Linked DNA regions of Alligator mississippiensis. The protein of the gene in region 1 interacts with the protein of each later gene in a biochemical or structural test. Links are inferred from orthologs where the notes say so. Each region holds a gene or a part of one and is shown in the gene's direction. Other genes may lie near its edges.

The links.
Region 2: the proteins of PLXND1 (region 1) and SEMA4A form a complex in vitro, tested with the Homo sapiens proteins (2 studies listed by IntAct, with this or other methods). The link is inferred for Alligator mississippiensis from reciprocal best matches to the Homo sapiens genes PLXND1 and SEMA4A.

The regions. Positions count from the first base shown.
Region 1 is NC_081835.1:15,265,445-15,273,531, reverse strand, and holds the start of PLXND1 (plexin-D1), read left to right. Parts: upstream 1-4,845; 5' UTR 4,846-4,887; coding exon 4,888-6,159; intron 6,160-8,087. UniProt on the Homo sapiens protein: Cell surface receptor for SEMA4A and for class 3 semaphorins, such as SEMA3A, SEMA3C and SEMA3E. Plays an important role in cell-cell signaling, and in regulating the migration of a wide spectrum of cell types.
Region 2 is NC_081838.1:17,389,545-17,397,169, forward strand, and holds the start of SEMA4A (semaphorin-4A), read left to right. Parts: upstream 1-4,426; 5' UTR 4,427-4,565; intron 4,566-7,625. UniProt on the Homo sapiens protein: Cell surface receptor for PLXNB1, PLXNB2, PLXNB3 and PLXND1 that plays an important role in cell-cell signaling. Regulates glutamatergic and GABAergic synapse development.

The DNA.
Region 1 (8,087 bases):
GCTTTCAGGTGCTCAATTACTGAGCTAAAGAGCCTTGTAGAATTTCTCTCTCTTAATATTCTACAGGAGACAGAATGAGAGAGACAGACAGGCAGACAACCCTCAGTGCCAGAGAGCTAACTCAATCCTATGCAGTGGGACACTGTCACATTCAATGATCTGTTATATCTAGAAACCAGCCCCTTTCTCCCTTCCAAATTGTCACACGGCAAGTTATTTATTTGGGTCTGCTGAATCAAACCAGTCCATTACCAATGTGTGATGGTGAACTCTCCTTTTGTATCTGCAAAATACTTTATGCCTTCCATGCAGAGAAAAAACAAGAAAATAAATGGATGTTTCTAGTCTGCATAGTAAAGAGATTAGATCCTGGTTTTTTTGACAGTGTTGCGGCAATATAACCTGAGTAATTTCATGAGTAACTCGTGTTTCCCCCAAAGGGAAATTGTTCTTGTGTAAATATATTTATTAATAATTAAAGTGTTTTTGTGTTCCTATACACACAACCCTCTCCCCCACAGAGATGTCTAAAAAGCTGTTATCTTTAAACCTGCATAAGAGTCAAACAGGAAAGGATTTTGGCAGGGGGCAATTGTTCTTAGTGGGAGGCGTGTATTTTTTTAGGCCTTTCTTCCTTCCTGAATAAAAAATAATGGTAAGCTCTGAGTATTAGAGATTTAAAAACCTCTATTACCTCTATTAGCAGCATTATCCTAAAAGATTCGCTAGGGCTTCTAACTCAACAGATAATAATAGGGGAAAAATCCATTTCTAGAAAACATTACGCTCAAAGCAGCTTATCAAGGGATTGTTTCCTAACAACAACAAAAATAAAATATTTAGCAGATAAATTTCACACTGCCACAAATATTTTGGCTCTAACTATCAGCCTTGATTAGTGGTCAGAACAGGAAATGGTAGTCAGGACTCCCCGGTTCTCTTACTGATGAGGCCAGTGACTGTCTTCATTTGGGAAGCCACTAATTTGCTTACACCCTTTGGCTTGCGTTTTCAGAAATGACTAGTAAATTTGGGTGCCTCATGTTTTGGGTACCCCATCTGAGACACCCTCAAAGACTGATTTTGCTTAGAAGAAGCACAGCTACTACAGAGACGGGCAGCAGTATACAGTCTTTATTGTGAATAGTTTAAGAGGCTGTGGTCCCTGAAATGGAGTTATTTAAATAACTCGCCATTCTTGAAAATGTGGATCTCTGTGCATCAGTTCTGTGAAAACAGGGATATTGAGGCTTAGCTGGCTCACAGTCACAGCTTAATTATGCTGGGTGTGGGCAAACAAACAAAATATAGTCAATTAAAAGGGCATAGGGACTTATCACATGGGTAACTGTTAATGTGCCTGCTCTTGCCATGAAATAAATGAAAGCTAAATTGCAGCACCTTAGCTCTCAGGGCTAAATTCCTGTAGATTAGCTTCCACTTATCGTGGGGTAAGAGTGGACAAACAAATGGTACCATGGGGCAGCTGATGTGCAGTAAGTTCCTGTTCCCTTGTAACTTGCTGTGAATTGTTTGTTTGTCCTTACCTTTGACATGGATAAAGCCCTCGGAAGCTCTAGATTGAACAGTGCTAAAATGTGTATCATTATAGTTATAACATGGGTTTATTTCTGGGTGGCTAAAGTCACAATTGTATTTAAAAATGGAAAAGTTAAAGTAAAAAAAAAGTCAAACAGTGTTGGTGTTCTAAATTTAAAAAACAGCCAATAACTCTATCCATTAGGGATGTGATTAGTAGAGACAATATGTTCGATAGCAGGAAAGCATCGTATTTAATTCAATGCACATTTTTCAGTGGGCATGGCATGGCCATTGCAGTTATGTATTAATTAGAGCTCTGAAGAGGGAGAAAAGGACAGGAAGGAGGTGAAGAGAGCTGGCAGGTGTAGAAATGAGATTAGACAACAACAGAGGATTTTTCTATCCAGAAAACGAGTCATCCAGAATCCTCATCAGCCTAACTGATAGGTTTTGTATGAATGAAAATAACTCAAGTAACATGAGAACAGTCCAGGCTAAAGAAAGGCTCAGGGAATTGAACGCAGTATACAGAGCCTTTCCACGCTAGCTTATAGATCATCTCTATGTCTAGTGATCAGAAATGTGACTTAATTGCATCCCTCACCTCACCCCACCCCCATTATTTGTGCATGGCAATGTCCCTTCTCATGTGGCTCACATCTTCCATAATGAAGGGAGGCACCCTCATAATACCCTTAGGGTTCCTTTTATTTGTCCTTTGGTTTTGGAACCGTTTCGCTACACTTGCGTTTTTTAAACTAAATCATGACAATTAAAACCATCCCTCTTCTTAAAAGGAGAAACCAGAGAGTTGCATGGATTCACATGACTCCAGGAGTGAAGGCTTTAAGAAACACAGCAAATACCACATTGTGACATTTGCAATGAAATTGCAGAGCTGGGGACAGAGGATTCCTTCCCCTAACACTACAGAAAGTGCTCAGCGGGTCAGTAAATCCACCAAGGGGAATGGGCAGACAATGTGCTGGACTGGCATTACAGTGCTCCAGCCCATAGAGGTGAGACTGAATAGCCAGATTCAGGTTAACTTTTTTCCCGTTCCCTAATGGAGCAACTAGAGAGAAATCTCGGCAAAAGCTCCTACCCCTTCGGTCTCCTCCTACACTGGGGACAAAGCCCTCACTGCCAATGCAGATTACACGAAATGAGTATAGTGGGCCTTGGGTTATTTCCCAGCATGCGAGCGTTCACATCACACATCAAACCACTCCTGGTATTGACAGTCTCAGCAGAAAGACCCAGGACTGAAGTGGAACGGAAGCTGAACACCAAAACTCAAACTCAGCCAATACAGCATAAAAGCGTTTTGCCCTCCAGAATCTCAGCTTTCATTTACATTTGAAATTTAAATTTTGTCATTAAATCAGAGCCAGTCTCATTTTGGTATGGCTGCAAAGAAAGCTTCAGAAATATGATCCAGGAGTCACTGAAATCCACACGGATCTGCAGATAGCCTAATATACTAACCCTGAGGTGTGAGCCGTCCCATTGCTCCTACTGATGGATTAATGCAAATGTCCAGCAATTATAATGTATGTATCACCATAGCATGCCACTCTGTCTGTAAAGGCTTATGTTCATGGGAAAGCCTGACAACTTTCCCACCCTGGCTCTGCTGGCTCATGGACAGCACCACTGAGCAAGTAACATGCTGCGGGCTCCCTTGGGCAACCTCAGTCCCAGCTGTGGCCGCAAGTAACATCAGAAGGTCTTGTGGACAACTCAGAGCCCACAAGCCACCAACTGGGGCCCACTGACTAAAGTATTGCAATGATATGCTGGTATCCTGATATTGTTAAACCAATATGCTTATACAGGGAAAACCCCCTCAAGTGGCCACTCTGGCTGCAGCCACATGAACAAGGTAGCCTGGAAAACCCCAGATGCTCTGAGGAAAAACGCTGCAGCCACTTGATGCAACTCCCTAAAACTGAGGTCAGTTTGCCCTGAACCAAGGATTTTTTTTGCCTTGGTTCCAAGCCGGGGCAGTTTCTTCCCAGGGCAGTGCAATTTCTTCCAGCCACAGCTGTTCATTGGAGCACAGCTGCATTAAGGCAGTTCCCTCTGGGCTTTTTGCCCCCAGGTTCCCTGCCATGCCAGTCATGTAGCCATAGCCTCTCACACTCTTTTTCCAGAATTAGGCTTTGACCCTTTTGGAATGACCTAAGCTACCCCAGAAAAAAAAGGCTTTTACCAGAATAAAAGTATCCATGCGGGGTTTAGACTTGTACACGGATTTTACACCCCTCACCCTTCACTCTCCCTGCAGTAACTTTCCATTGTAGGCAAGTCCTGAGAGAGGAGGCACAGGAGGAGCCCTCAAGGGGGTGATGCCTCACCCTGGTCGCTGCCCACCACGTCCCCTCAGCACAGATCAGAGCTGGGAGCTGCGAGGAGAAGCCCCCGCTTCTGAACCCTCCCCTGGGAACTTGGACAAGAGCCTCCACTGTCCCCCCCAGGTCCCCTCCCGGCTGAGGGCAGGCACGGGGAAGTCCCCAGGCGACTCAGACCCTTTCACTGCTGCACCAGGCTCTCCCCACAAGGACTAGAAAGCAGCCGGGCAAGGGCTGTGCCAGCAACCCAGTGTCACCCCTTCCACGCTGGGCGTACCCGGCCCCTTCATCTCTTCCTGCCCCCGTCACCATCACCCACTCCTCTCCCACTCTCTTTTTCCGGGGGGGGCTAGGGTGGCCATCCCAGAGGACATTCCGGTTTTCTGCTACTCCATCCCCTATTGATACAAAACCCGGTGCCTTTATGCCCTCCGTTTTTCTCTCGAAGAAGGGGCTGCTCAACCCCGTGTAGGTGGCCCCCACCAGAACAGAAAAATAGAGGACCTAAAGGTTTTTGCGTCAACAGAGGACACCCGGGCTGTCCCTTAGGACGGCCAGCTACGAGCCGGGCGCAGGCGGTAGCCAGTCTCGACATCGCCTGCGAGGGTCTGTCAGTCTTCTCCTGCTTAGACCCGAAGGAAAGGGGGCTATTTCTAGTCCGTCCGAGCAGGGGGGAGGGCTGTGAGGGCGGCTAGTCTGAGGGAGGAGCGGGGAGAGGTCTCCTCGTAGCGCTGAAAGCAATGCGGGGGGGAAAGAAACCTTCCCCTGAAGCAAAGCGAGACATGAAGGGAAGGGAAGGGAAGGGGAAGGGAAGGGAAGGGAAGGAGGGGGGCGGGAGCTGTCACGGGGGGAGGGTGCCGCCTGCCTCCGCGCCGCCGAGCCCCATCCCATCCCGCCTGTCGGGGCGGTCCAGAGGCGCGGGCGGGCTCGCCACAAAGGCAGCGCCGGCTCCGCAGGCAGCGGGTGCCCTCTCCATGCCCGGCGCGGCGGCATGGCGGGGCGGGCGCTCCCTCGGACGCCGCCGCCGCTGCTGCTGCTGCTGCTGCTGCGGGCGGTGGTGCTGGCGCTGGCGCTGCGGGCGGGCGCGGGGCTGGAGGTGCAGCGCAAGTTCCCGTCGCCCACCCCCACCAACAACTTCGCGCTGGACGGGCCGGGCCGGCGGGTGTACGTGGCGGCCGTGAACCGGCTGTACCAGCTGGCGGGGCCCAACCTGACGCTGGAGGCGGAGGAGCAGGTGGGCCCCGTGCCCGACAACCCGCTGTGCCATGCCCCGCAGCTGCCGCAGGCGTCGTGCGAGCACGCGCGGGTGCCCACGCCCAACTACAACAAGATCCTGCAGCCCGACGCGGCGCAGGGCATCGTGGTGGTGTGCGGCTCCGTCTACCAGGGCTCGTGCCAGCTGCGCAGCATGGCCAACATCTCGGCCGTGGCCGTGCGCTTCCCGCCCCACGCCGCCAACGCCCCGTCCGCCGTGCCGTCGGCCGAGCCGGTGACCGTGTTCCCCAGCATGCTCAACGTGGCGGCCAACCACCCCAACGCCTCCACCGTGGGGCTGGTGCTGCCCGGCGGCGCGCCCGGCGACACGCGCCTGCTGGTGGGCGCCACCTACACGGGCTTCGGCAGCCCCTTCTTCCCGCGCAACCGCAGCCTGGAGGACCACCGCTTCGAGAACACGCCCGAGATCGCCATCCGCGCCCTGGACGCGCGCGGGGACCTGGCGCGGCTCTTCACCTTCGACCTCAACCCGTCCGACGACAACATCCTCAAGATCAAGCTCAGCGCCAAGGCCCGCCACAAGCTGGGCTTCGTGCGCGCCTTCCTGCGCCGCGCGCGCTTCGCCTACCTGGCGCTCAACAGCGAGGCCAACGCGGGCGACAAGGAGAGCCAGGCGCACAGCCTGCTGGCGCGCATCTGCCTGCCCGACGCCGCCGCCGCCGGCCCCGGAGAGACCAAGAAGCTCACCGAGTCCTACATCCAGCTGGGGCTGCAGTGCGGCGCCGGCGCCGAGCTCTACAACCGCCTCGTGTCCGTCTTCCCGCCGCCCGACGCCGCCGACCAGCGCCTCTTCGCCGTCTTCGAGCGCGGCGCCGGCCCCGGCCCCCGCGCGCCCGCCGCGCTCTGCGCCTTCCGCTTCGCCGACGTGGACGCGGCCATCCGCGCCGCGCGCCGCTCCTGCCTGGCCGCGCCCGACGCCGGCCTCGTGGCCGTGCTGGACAGCGTGGTGCAGGGCAGCGGGCCCTCCTGCGAGAGGAGGGCCATCCAGGTAGCGCCCCCGGCCCCGCGGCACAGGGCAGCCCTCGGGTGCGGGCGGGGGGCAGCCCCGCATCCCTCTCCCAGCAGCGTCCTGGTGCAAGCGCCTGCCTCCCGGGTGGCTCTGATCCTGGGGAACCCCCCTGTACCTGGTGGGAGTGGGGACCCCCTTCCCATGTGGCTCTGATCCTGGGGAACCCCCCTGTACGCTGGTGGGAGTGGGGTACCCCCATGTGTCTCTGATCCTTGGGTACCCCCCTGTACGCTGGTGGGAGTGGGGTACCCTCCATGTGGCTCTGATCCTGGGGAACCCCTCTGTACCTGGTGGGAGTGGGGACCCCCTTCCCATGTGGCTCTGATCCTGGGGTACCCCCTTGTACGCTGGTGGGAGTGGGGTACCCTCCATGTGGCTCTGATCCTGGGGTACCCCCCTGTACACTGGTGGGAGTGGGGTACCCCCATGTGGCTCTGATCCTTGGGTACCCCCCTGTACGCTGGTGGGAGTGGGGACCCCCTTCCCATGTGGCTCTGATTGAGATGTGGGGCCCAGGTCACCCCCCATCCTATACTCCAGCAGCCTCCTGGTGCAAGCACCTGCCCCCTCATGTGGCTCTGATCCTGGGGAACCCCCCTGTACACTGGTGGGAGTGGGGACCCCCTGTGTGGCTCTAATTGGGGTGGGGGGCTGGGGAACCCCCCTGTATACTGTTGGGAGTGGGGACCCCTCCACATGTGGCTCTGATGAGAGTGGGGAGGTCCAGGTCACCCCCGCCCCACCTGCATACAGGTGGGAGCTCTGATGGGGATGGAGACTCAGGGTTAGGGTTGTTCCCCCTGTACCATGGTGGGAACAAGGATCCCCCTACCCTGCAGCTCTGATGAGGGTAGGGGGCCTGGGTAACCCCTCAGCGGTGCCCTGGTGGGAGCTTTGATGTGGGTTGCAGGGTCAGATAACTCCCCACTCAGCCCTGGTGGCAGTGAAGACTCCCCTGTGTGGCTCTGATGAGGGTGGGGGCCCAGGTAACCTCCCCCCTGCCCCCCAGGTGGGAGCTCAGATGAGGGAGCCCTGCTTAGGCTGGAGCCCTCTGGGTGGGTTTGGTACTCTCCATGGTCCCCATCCTGAAGTTCTCACTCAAGCAAAGCTCCCAATAAACTGGATGTAAGGCCCCTTGGAAGTGGGTCTCACACTGGACTAACAATATAACCTTGTACCTTTGCGGCTAGCTGCGTGGGTGATTATTGCACAGCAGGCTGAAGTCTGGAGGGGTTGAGGAACAAAAGCATTCAAAGAGGCACAAAAAACTTCCCCAGAGTCTGTTCTTCAGGGTTCGGTCGTAGTGCCTCAGGTGACAGGTCTCCCTTGTAGTGCTACTAACAAAACCATCCTTAACGTGGTTGTGGATTAGGGGTGGGATTCAACTGGAACCTTTGACCTGAGGGTCACTGGACTTTGCAGGGCTTGGGTGCTGACTGGAACCAACCAAGATCCAGGTATTACAATAGATTTCTAGTGGCCTTATCCTGCGTCTCATCAGTATCAGTGGCAAAAGCTCTGTGGACTCCAGTGGGGCAGGATCAAGCTTTATTTCCCAACCTGAACTGAAACCTGGTCCCTGAAAGCCTGACAAACGTTCCCTGAAAGCCTATGAGGCTGGTGGGCAGAAAGGTGCCAGTAGTTAAATCTTGGTCTGATTCTGAAGTTTTGCTGTTGAATGAAGCTCAAATTCCCCCTGAACACTCCAGAGGTATGTTAGGGGTTAAAGATCTGCATGTGGGTTTTACACCTCCAGCCTCTTTCTGCTAAAATCTGTCTTGCAACCACTTCTGATGAGTGAGTCTAATTTACTCACACCAGTCAGTATTTAGGAGGTTAAGAGAAACATGCTGAATGCAGCGAGCTACTTTTTTTCACCGGGATTTATATTCATACAGTAACCATGT
Region 2 (7,625 bases), on another chromosome or scaffold:
GATAATAGTCCTCAAATAATCAACAGTGCCCTTGTTGGCAAGAAGGCTAACTACAGAAAGGAGGTGGACAAGTTGGAGAGAGTCCAGAGGAGGGCAGTGAAAATGGTTCAGGGGCTGGGGGACAGGACTGGTGAGGAGAGGCTGGGGGAACTGGGCTGATTTAGCCTGGAGAAGAGAAGACTGAGGGGGGTTGAATAGCAGCCCTCAACTCCCTGCAGGGTGGTTGCAAAGAGGATGGAGCTGGACTGTTCTCAGTGGGGGCAGATGACAGGATATTAGGAAGAAGCAATGGGCTCCACTCATAGCAAGGGAGGTTTAGGCTGGATATTAGGAAAAATGTTCTCACTAGGAAGGTGGTGACGCACTGGAACAGGTTCCCCAGAGTGGTGGTGAAGTCTCCATCTTTTTTAAACCCGGGGTAGACAAAGCCCTGGCTGGGACGATGTAGTTGGGGCCAGTCGTGCTTGGAGCAGGGGCTTGGACTAGATGTGACCTCCCGAGGTCCCTTCCAACCTTAATTTTCTGTGATTCTATGAAATACCTGAAGGGCAATGACAGCGAAGGTGGAGATGGGCCTTTCTATGTGGCTGTAGGGGTGAGATTAAGTGCAATAGCCTCAAGCTGCAGCAGGGGGACCTGAGGTTGGAGATGAGAAGGATCTTGCTGGCTCTGTGGTGGTTGAGCCGTGGAGCAGGTGGAGTTTCCTTCCACCTGGAAATGTCCAAGAGCAGTTTGGACAGACACCGGGCTGGGAGGGTTGAGTCAGGCCTTATCCTGCCTTGACTAGATGCGCCTTCATGAGGTCCTTTCCAGCCCCTTTCTTCGCTCCTAATTAATAGACAGCAGATAAATGTTACTAGCTGAAGATTCAATTAATACTATTTAATTACTATTATTACCCCAATATCCTACCACGAATATGCCAGCTTGCCAGGGTTATCGATGCTGCGTTTCATTTGTAAAGTGGAGAGAGTTAAGCTGATTTCTGTGATGAAAGCAAAGATCTCTTATTAGTGGATCTGAGTATTTCTACTTTGTGTTTTTAATGTGCTGGAATAATCAACTACTTCTCTGGCTGGTATCTGCTATCTGCAGCCTTTATTACTTATATATATAATTTTTTTTTTCCTCTTTTCTTTTCCAGGCTCCTCAAAGTTGCAGCATCATCCATCCTTGCCAAAAAAATTTTCCATAACAAATTATTCTTCCCCTAAAGCAAAAGTACCTTTCCCTGCCTGTCTCTTCCCCTCTTTTGAAAACAAACCAAGAAAGGTTGAGATTTTTTGTTTTGTTCTCGACCACAGAAATATAATGCAAAATGACGGTTTGATTTTTTTTTTTTAAAGAAAGAAAATCTATTTTTATAGGTAAAAAAACCCACACCAACAAGAGCTTTTTCAGCTGCTGCATCTTTTTAAACACTGAAGCCAAAGTCAACGAATGATGGTTGTCAAAAAAAGAGAGAGGAAAAAAAAATTGGTAGTTTAATAGCTCTTTAGATGTATTTTTTTGCCAAAGGTTTTTAAATAGGAGTTTGATGTAAAGCCATTTGAGATGGGCCCCCCGTGCCTGTAAGTATCTTGGGGGAAGGGGGCTGTGTTGCTCTACAAAGCCATGTGTTAGACCTGAAAGCAAAGCTCATTTCAATGAGTGGGATGAGCTTTGGTTTAGGTAAATTGTGTTTTGAAAAGGGAAATCCAGTCCCTGAGGCTCGATTGTCCTGTGCACTAAGGCTCCTGCACCCCACTCTCACGGGAATCATCTGTGAGTGTCCTGGGGGGCCCAGATCCTCCTATTTTCCCATCACTTTCTGCACCGAGGGGTGCGCACAAGAGGCCTGAACGATGTTCTCATTGATTTCCCGTTGGTCTCATACCTGGGCCATTACCTCCTGACCCCCCTTGTGCTGCCTGCTGCACTTACTCCCATTGCTCCCTGCTCTTGCCATGGGAAAGACCCATTTTTTTCATACTGTATTACTCATCAGAGGCATTAGTTGTTTATATAGATATATAGATAGATGAATAAGCAGCCACGTTGTGCCTTAAAAGGGGTGGTGTCGAGCGCAAGAGGAAGGAGAGAGCTTGTCTAGAGAGAGACAGAGCTGGGTTGTAGCCTAGGGTCTGCGGTCGAGACCAGACAAGGGCAACGGGACATTAAAAGTGATGCAGAGTTTCCAAACGTGCTTGTTGCTAGTCCAGGGACTGGGGCTGCCCCAGGCTGATCTTCAAGGTCTGCAGGTTTAGGGTTTGTGCTAAGGGGTGGTGGGGCCAGGGCTTTGCCTGGAGGAAAATCCGGCTCTGAGGAGCAGCTTAATGCCAGCCATGATGTAGCCCCGCGAGCTGAAGCCTTTTAGCTGCTCCTGTTCCGCTGTGGGTGTGATCCTGCCCCTCTCCCCACCCCACACCTATCCCCTGCCTTCAGCAGGAGGTTGGGGGTCTGCCTAGGGGGACAGGAGCTGGACCCCAAGCCTATTCTGGACCTGAGGGCTCACAAGGACTGCAGGAGACTGTTTCCCCCTCTGATTTTTTTGTATCACTATTTTGAGATCAGTCCAGACACTCCAACAGGGCCCAGCCAGTCTCTAACGCCCTGCTGCCTTCAGCAGCACACACTTTGTATCTGCGGCACTGTTTGAGGAAGCTTACCATGCACTACTCCCTGCCCAGCACTGGGTCCAGCCGCCTACTCCGTTGCCTTGTCCCTGCCCGCCCCCACCATCAACACTAAAGTCAGCCCAGTGGGGCCCTTCTTTGCCTCCCAGAGAAAACGCTGTTTGCTGATAACCTGCTGCCACTCCGGCTCTATTCCCGCTTTTCCGCATCTTGCTAAGTGGAAATGTTACCGCTGTTCCTGTTCTTCTCCCCAAATCAATACACGAGGAATCCTGCCCAGCCCGTGTCCTCTCGTGATTTCATAGGGGGCTGGGGTTAGTGAAAGGAGCAGGTGATGCTCTCGGGCCCTGCGTGGGAGGCTGCCGGTCAGCACGGAGGGAGCCTCGGGCTTGGGGTAGCAGCAGGTGGGTGCAAGGGGCATTGGCAGAGCTCTGGGGAGGGGCGACCAGGACTGGACTGGGGAATTAGGGGCACCGGAGCCCCCCAGGGTGGCTCATAGTTAGACCCAGGGGAAGAGGTTGACCCAGGGAGGAGCAGGGGCCGGGATCCCTGCCAGCATCACCTGGAGGAGGCCTTCCTGCAGAGGGGACTTGAGGCTGCCCTGGTATGACTCCCTCACAACCCCTCCCACAGCCTCAGGAGGGCTGGGATTGACTTCTATGGGGGGGGAATGCGCTAGCCCCAGACACCAACTGGGGTGTACTGGAATGGGGCAGGACCTGAAAGCAGCCATCCACTGCCCTCCACTCTCCTGTAGCTTGCATTGGTGGGGCTGGGGCCTCTGCTGTATGCTCGCCCACCTCCGCCCCCCTTCCCCCCCCCCCCCCCCCCCCCGTAGTGACCCCTGACATGCTCTTCCCCTTCCTCTGAGCCGTGTCTGGAGGCTGCCAGGGTTTCCACAGAGTCAGGGGGCTCTCTCGGGAGCTGATTGGGGCCTGGAGCACCCGGGGTTGGGGGAAGAGGAAACCCCCCAGGATTGGAAGTGAGGGGTTGGGAAAGGAACAGCAAACCCCTCTGGTTCACAGCGTCACCCCCTGTTACTTCACACACCAATCTGTGCCCCCCACCATGCACTTTCCTGCTGCAGGCGCTAGGTGTCACCAGCTCACTTCTGATGGCCTTGACCATGGCAAAGCCAGTGAGCGCCCATCCAGCCGGGCTGCTCCCCAGGGGTGAATGGCACTGCCCCGGTACCCGCAGGCTGCAGCTCCTGTCCTCTGCTTTCCCAGCTATTCATGCCCTGCGGGGCTAAGTGACTTGGCCAGGACCGTACAGCAAAGCGGTGGCAGTCTGGGCTCCTGCCTGCCCAGGCATTAACAGCCATGATTTGAACTGCATCTTTGCACAGGTTCCCTAAGTCTCCTAAAGGCTTGTTAGGACATCCCCCCACTCCCTCAGGCTGCAGTCAGAGGTGCTGCTGGGGGGATCTGAGCCCCTGGGCGGCCTGGGCTGGGGTGATTGCCCTGGACAGCTCAGCATGAAGGTTGTCGGATCCATGCAAGGGGCTGTCTCTTCTCTAGGCAACCCCTGGGGATTGAGGCTTATTTGTAGGGGGGACACCACATCCCTGCCCAGCGTGGGGGAGGCTTTGCTGAGCCCGGGAGTGATGCACGTCCCAGAGGCCTAGAGGCAGTCTGTCCACCAGGCACATGGACAAGCCCTGGGTCCCCCCAGCCTGGACCGAGCCTGAGCTGCCAGCCTGCCTGCCTCCTGCCAGCTCCGGGGTTTATGGCTCTGGGAAGCTGCGAGAGGCAAGGCCGGGAGTGCCAGGCAGTGCTGCTCACGAGGCGGCACTAATGCTCCAGCGCTGAGGCTGGCCAGGAGGGAGGGGAGAAGGAAAGCAGCCTGGGAGCTAGGAGGCAGCTCCAGAAGCCACAGCCAGGAGGATGGCAGATGCCGGCAGAGCCTGCAGCCGTGGCAGATGAGTGCCCGGCCCCCTGCCCACTGCAGGTAAATGGGGGCGTGGGGGTGCTCGGGGACCTCGCACTCCCGCAGCTTTGTAGCTGAGTGACAGGGAAGCCAGTGGGATTTGGGGCTTTCTGTGTCCTGCGTGGATCAGGAGGGGGTGACGGGGGAGCAGGACACCTGGGTTGTCTGCTGCTGATCCACCCTCCAGCTCCTGGCTCCAGGGCTCAGGGCCGGGATGGGGAAACCGAGGCACGGGGGAGGACAGATGGGCTCTCTCAGGGGCATCCAAGCATGTTTCTCCCTGGTTAAGGCAGGAGGGGCAGACGGCCACAGGGTGCCTGGCTCCAGGCAGTGGCAGGGGCATGGGGTTTCTGCCTTGACAAAGCCTGTTGTTGCCATCAGGGATGTAGGTGCTGGGCGCTGGGCACAGTGGAGAGCTGAGCACAGGGGCTGGGCACTGGGTATGGTGAGGAGCTGGGCACTGGGTATGGTGGGGAGCTGGGCACAGGGCTGGACTCTGGGCACAGTGAGGAGCTGGCGCTCCATCATCTCCATACAGAAACAAGGCATCGCAGTTTCCAAGGCAATACCTGCCTTCATGCCCACTGTCGGGTGCCCGCAGCTGTGGCAGCTTGACCCACTGACCACTAGGTGTTATGGTGATAACTCCCTGGGGCAGTGGCCATCAGTCTGTCCAGCTGGCTAGAGAGGGCTGTGGCCGCTACAGCTGGGCACCAGAAGTGGAAGGGGCAGGGACTCGTGGGCACAGGTGCCAGGACCCAGGGGTGGGGAGATGCAGGGTCCACTGACACCTGAGCAGCCTTTACCTGCTACTGCCAAAGGACCTGTGAATTGTGCACTCTCAGCCTTACACTTGTGCACATGCACTTACATACTCTGTCACACTTGTGCACTCTCACATCACACCCTGGCATTTCACTGTCATGCAATCCCACTCCTGGGTGCACCCACCCACGATCATGCACTTTCTCACATGCATGCTCCCCTTGCATATGCACTTGTGCATTTACATGTGTATTGGTGCTGTTGCATACCTAAACACACCCTCATGCATGCATGTACACAAACTTGTGCAACCGCACACTCACGTTCACACTCACCACCCTCTCCCTCCCAGCAAGAGGAGCAGCAGCATCAGGCCCACTGCAGATGCCCTCACTCCAGCCCGGGGCCCTTATCTCAGCTATGACGAGCCGTGCGCCGGGGCGGACGGGGCAGCACTTGGAGATTACAAGTGGGTCTAAATAAGGAGCTTAGCCACCAGGGTCACTGCGCATTTGCTGCTGGCACTCTCATGCAAACAGCTATTGAGGCTATAGGCCCTGGCACTGAGGATGAGCTGCGGAGTCGGGGGACATTTCAGGCAGGGCAATGCCTGCCAACCCCATCCACTGCTGGCTGGGAGCACCCCAGTACCAGGGTTCATGCACCCCTGATTCCCCTTAGGAATCCGTAGGTGCCCTTGCCCGCGGCACCATCCCTTGCACTGGTGCAAAGCAAGGTCACCTGCTCAGAGCCTGTGTCGAGCCCCCAGGGACCCTTTCCAGACCCCCTGCCGGGGCCCAGGCCCCGTGTTTTCTCCCTCCAGCCAGAATCGTGGGCACGAGGCCTCTTGTGCTCTGTTCTTGGGCCTCGGCCAGGTCTCCCTGGTTCCCTTCCCTCCTCTGCAAGCCAGGAAACCTGGCAGCAGAGGCAGCTTGAGTAGGAGAGGCACTTCCAAGCCCTTTCACCCAGTTGCAGCTGGGAGGAGGAGATGGAAGGGGGGCAGCACTGCCTAGGGGGTTGGGGAGCTGACAGGCAGGGCTTTGCTCCTGGGATGGAGGGAGTTACAGCTTCTTGGCTGGAGCAGTGACCAGCTCCCAGGGGCTTTGAATGGGGCCCCTTCCCCAGTGCCGCAGGCTCCCTCTTCTCTCTCAGGCTTCATCCAGAGTGGTTGCTGGGGTCTTCCCCTGTGCTGTGCATGCTCTCCACTGGCTCTATGCCCCTCCTGTCACTGCTGCTGCTCTTTGCTGCTCTGCAAGGCACCGGAAGCCACAAGGAGGTCCCCAGTGCTGCTGTGGCTTCTTGAGGCTCGATCGATCGGCAGCATCTTGGCTGAAATCATGCCCCATTCCCTTCCCCCCACACCTGGGATCTATCACCCCTGGGCCTGAGCTCGCCCTGCCCTGAGCCCTGCCTGGAGCACGCTCTTCTGGATCGGGATCTTTGGGTTCAGCAGCTTCCTATCAGCCCCCTGCTTAGAGCCAGGAAGCAGCAGGAACCTTCAGGGAGGTATCTCCCCTGGCACTCAGCCCCCTTCCACCATCACGGCCATCCCTGCTGGCTCCCAGGGTTTCAGGTCCCCTTTCTTAAAGCCCCAGCTCCCGGAGTCTGGGGAATCCTGCCTGAGCTGAATGAGGACATCAACGCCCGGATTCTACCTTTCCACTATGTGACACAGGAAACTGGGCAAGATGGGCCTATGACCTGACCCAGTCACAGTTTCACTGTTTCTCACCTCTTTTTGGTTACACTAAATTTGGAGCTGGGACGTACATCAAGAGATGGAGGGAAAAAGCTGGGCTGGATCCTAGAATTGGCAAGAGACACCTGCAATCTGGGGAGGGTTTGGACTGCCTGGTCCTTTGGGCACCAGGGAGGGACCAGGCAGGAGCTCCCTGGCCCAAGGGCTAGGACCCAGTGCATCAGGTATGTACCAGGGGCATTAGTGACTCAGGATGATCCCACTCTGACTCGGTGGCGCATGTCTGCTGGGCATCACTACCTGTCCCAATCTGGACTCAGGCCTCTTGTAGGTGCATATGTCCTGGGCCAACTTGGCGCTCTGCTCTAGCCCAGAGGTGGCTGCATTTCAGTGGCAAGGGAGTCTTCGTATTGGTGCTTCAGGGGCTACATAGGTCGCCTGCCGCGCTAAGTGCTATACAAAGGCAGGTCTCCCTTATGCCATGCTAGTGATGATTTCTAGCAAGGCTGATAGGGCTGCAGCGTACAGCTCCATGAACCCCAACAGAGATGTGCTGCCCAGCGGGGTGCACGCAGCTGTATGTTGCAATAGGGAAGAGTTACTGCCTGCTTCTCCTT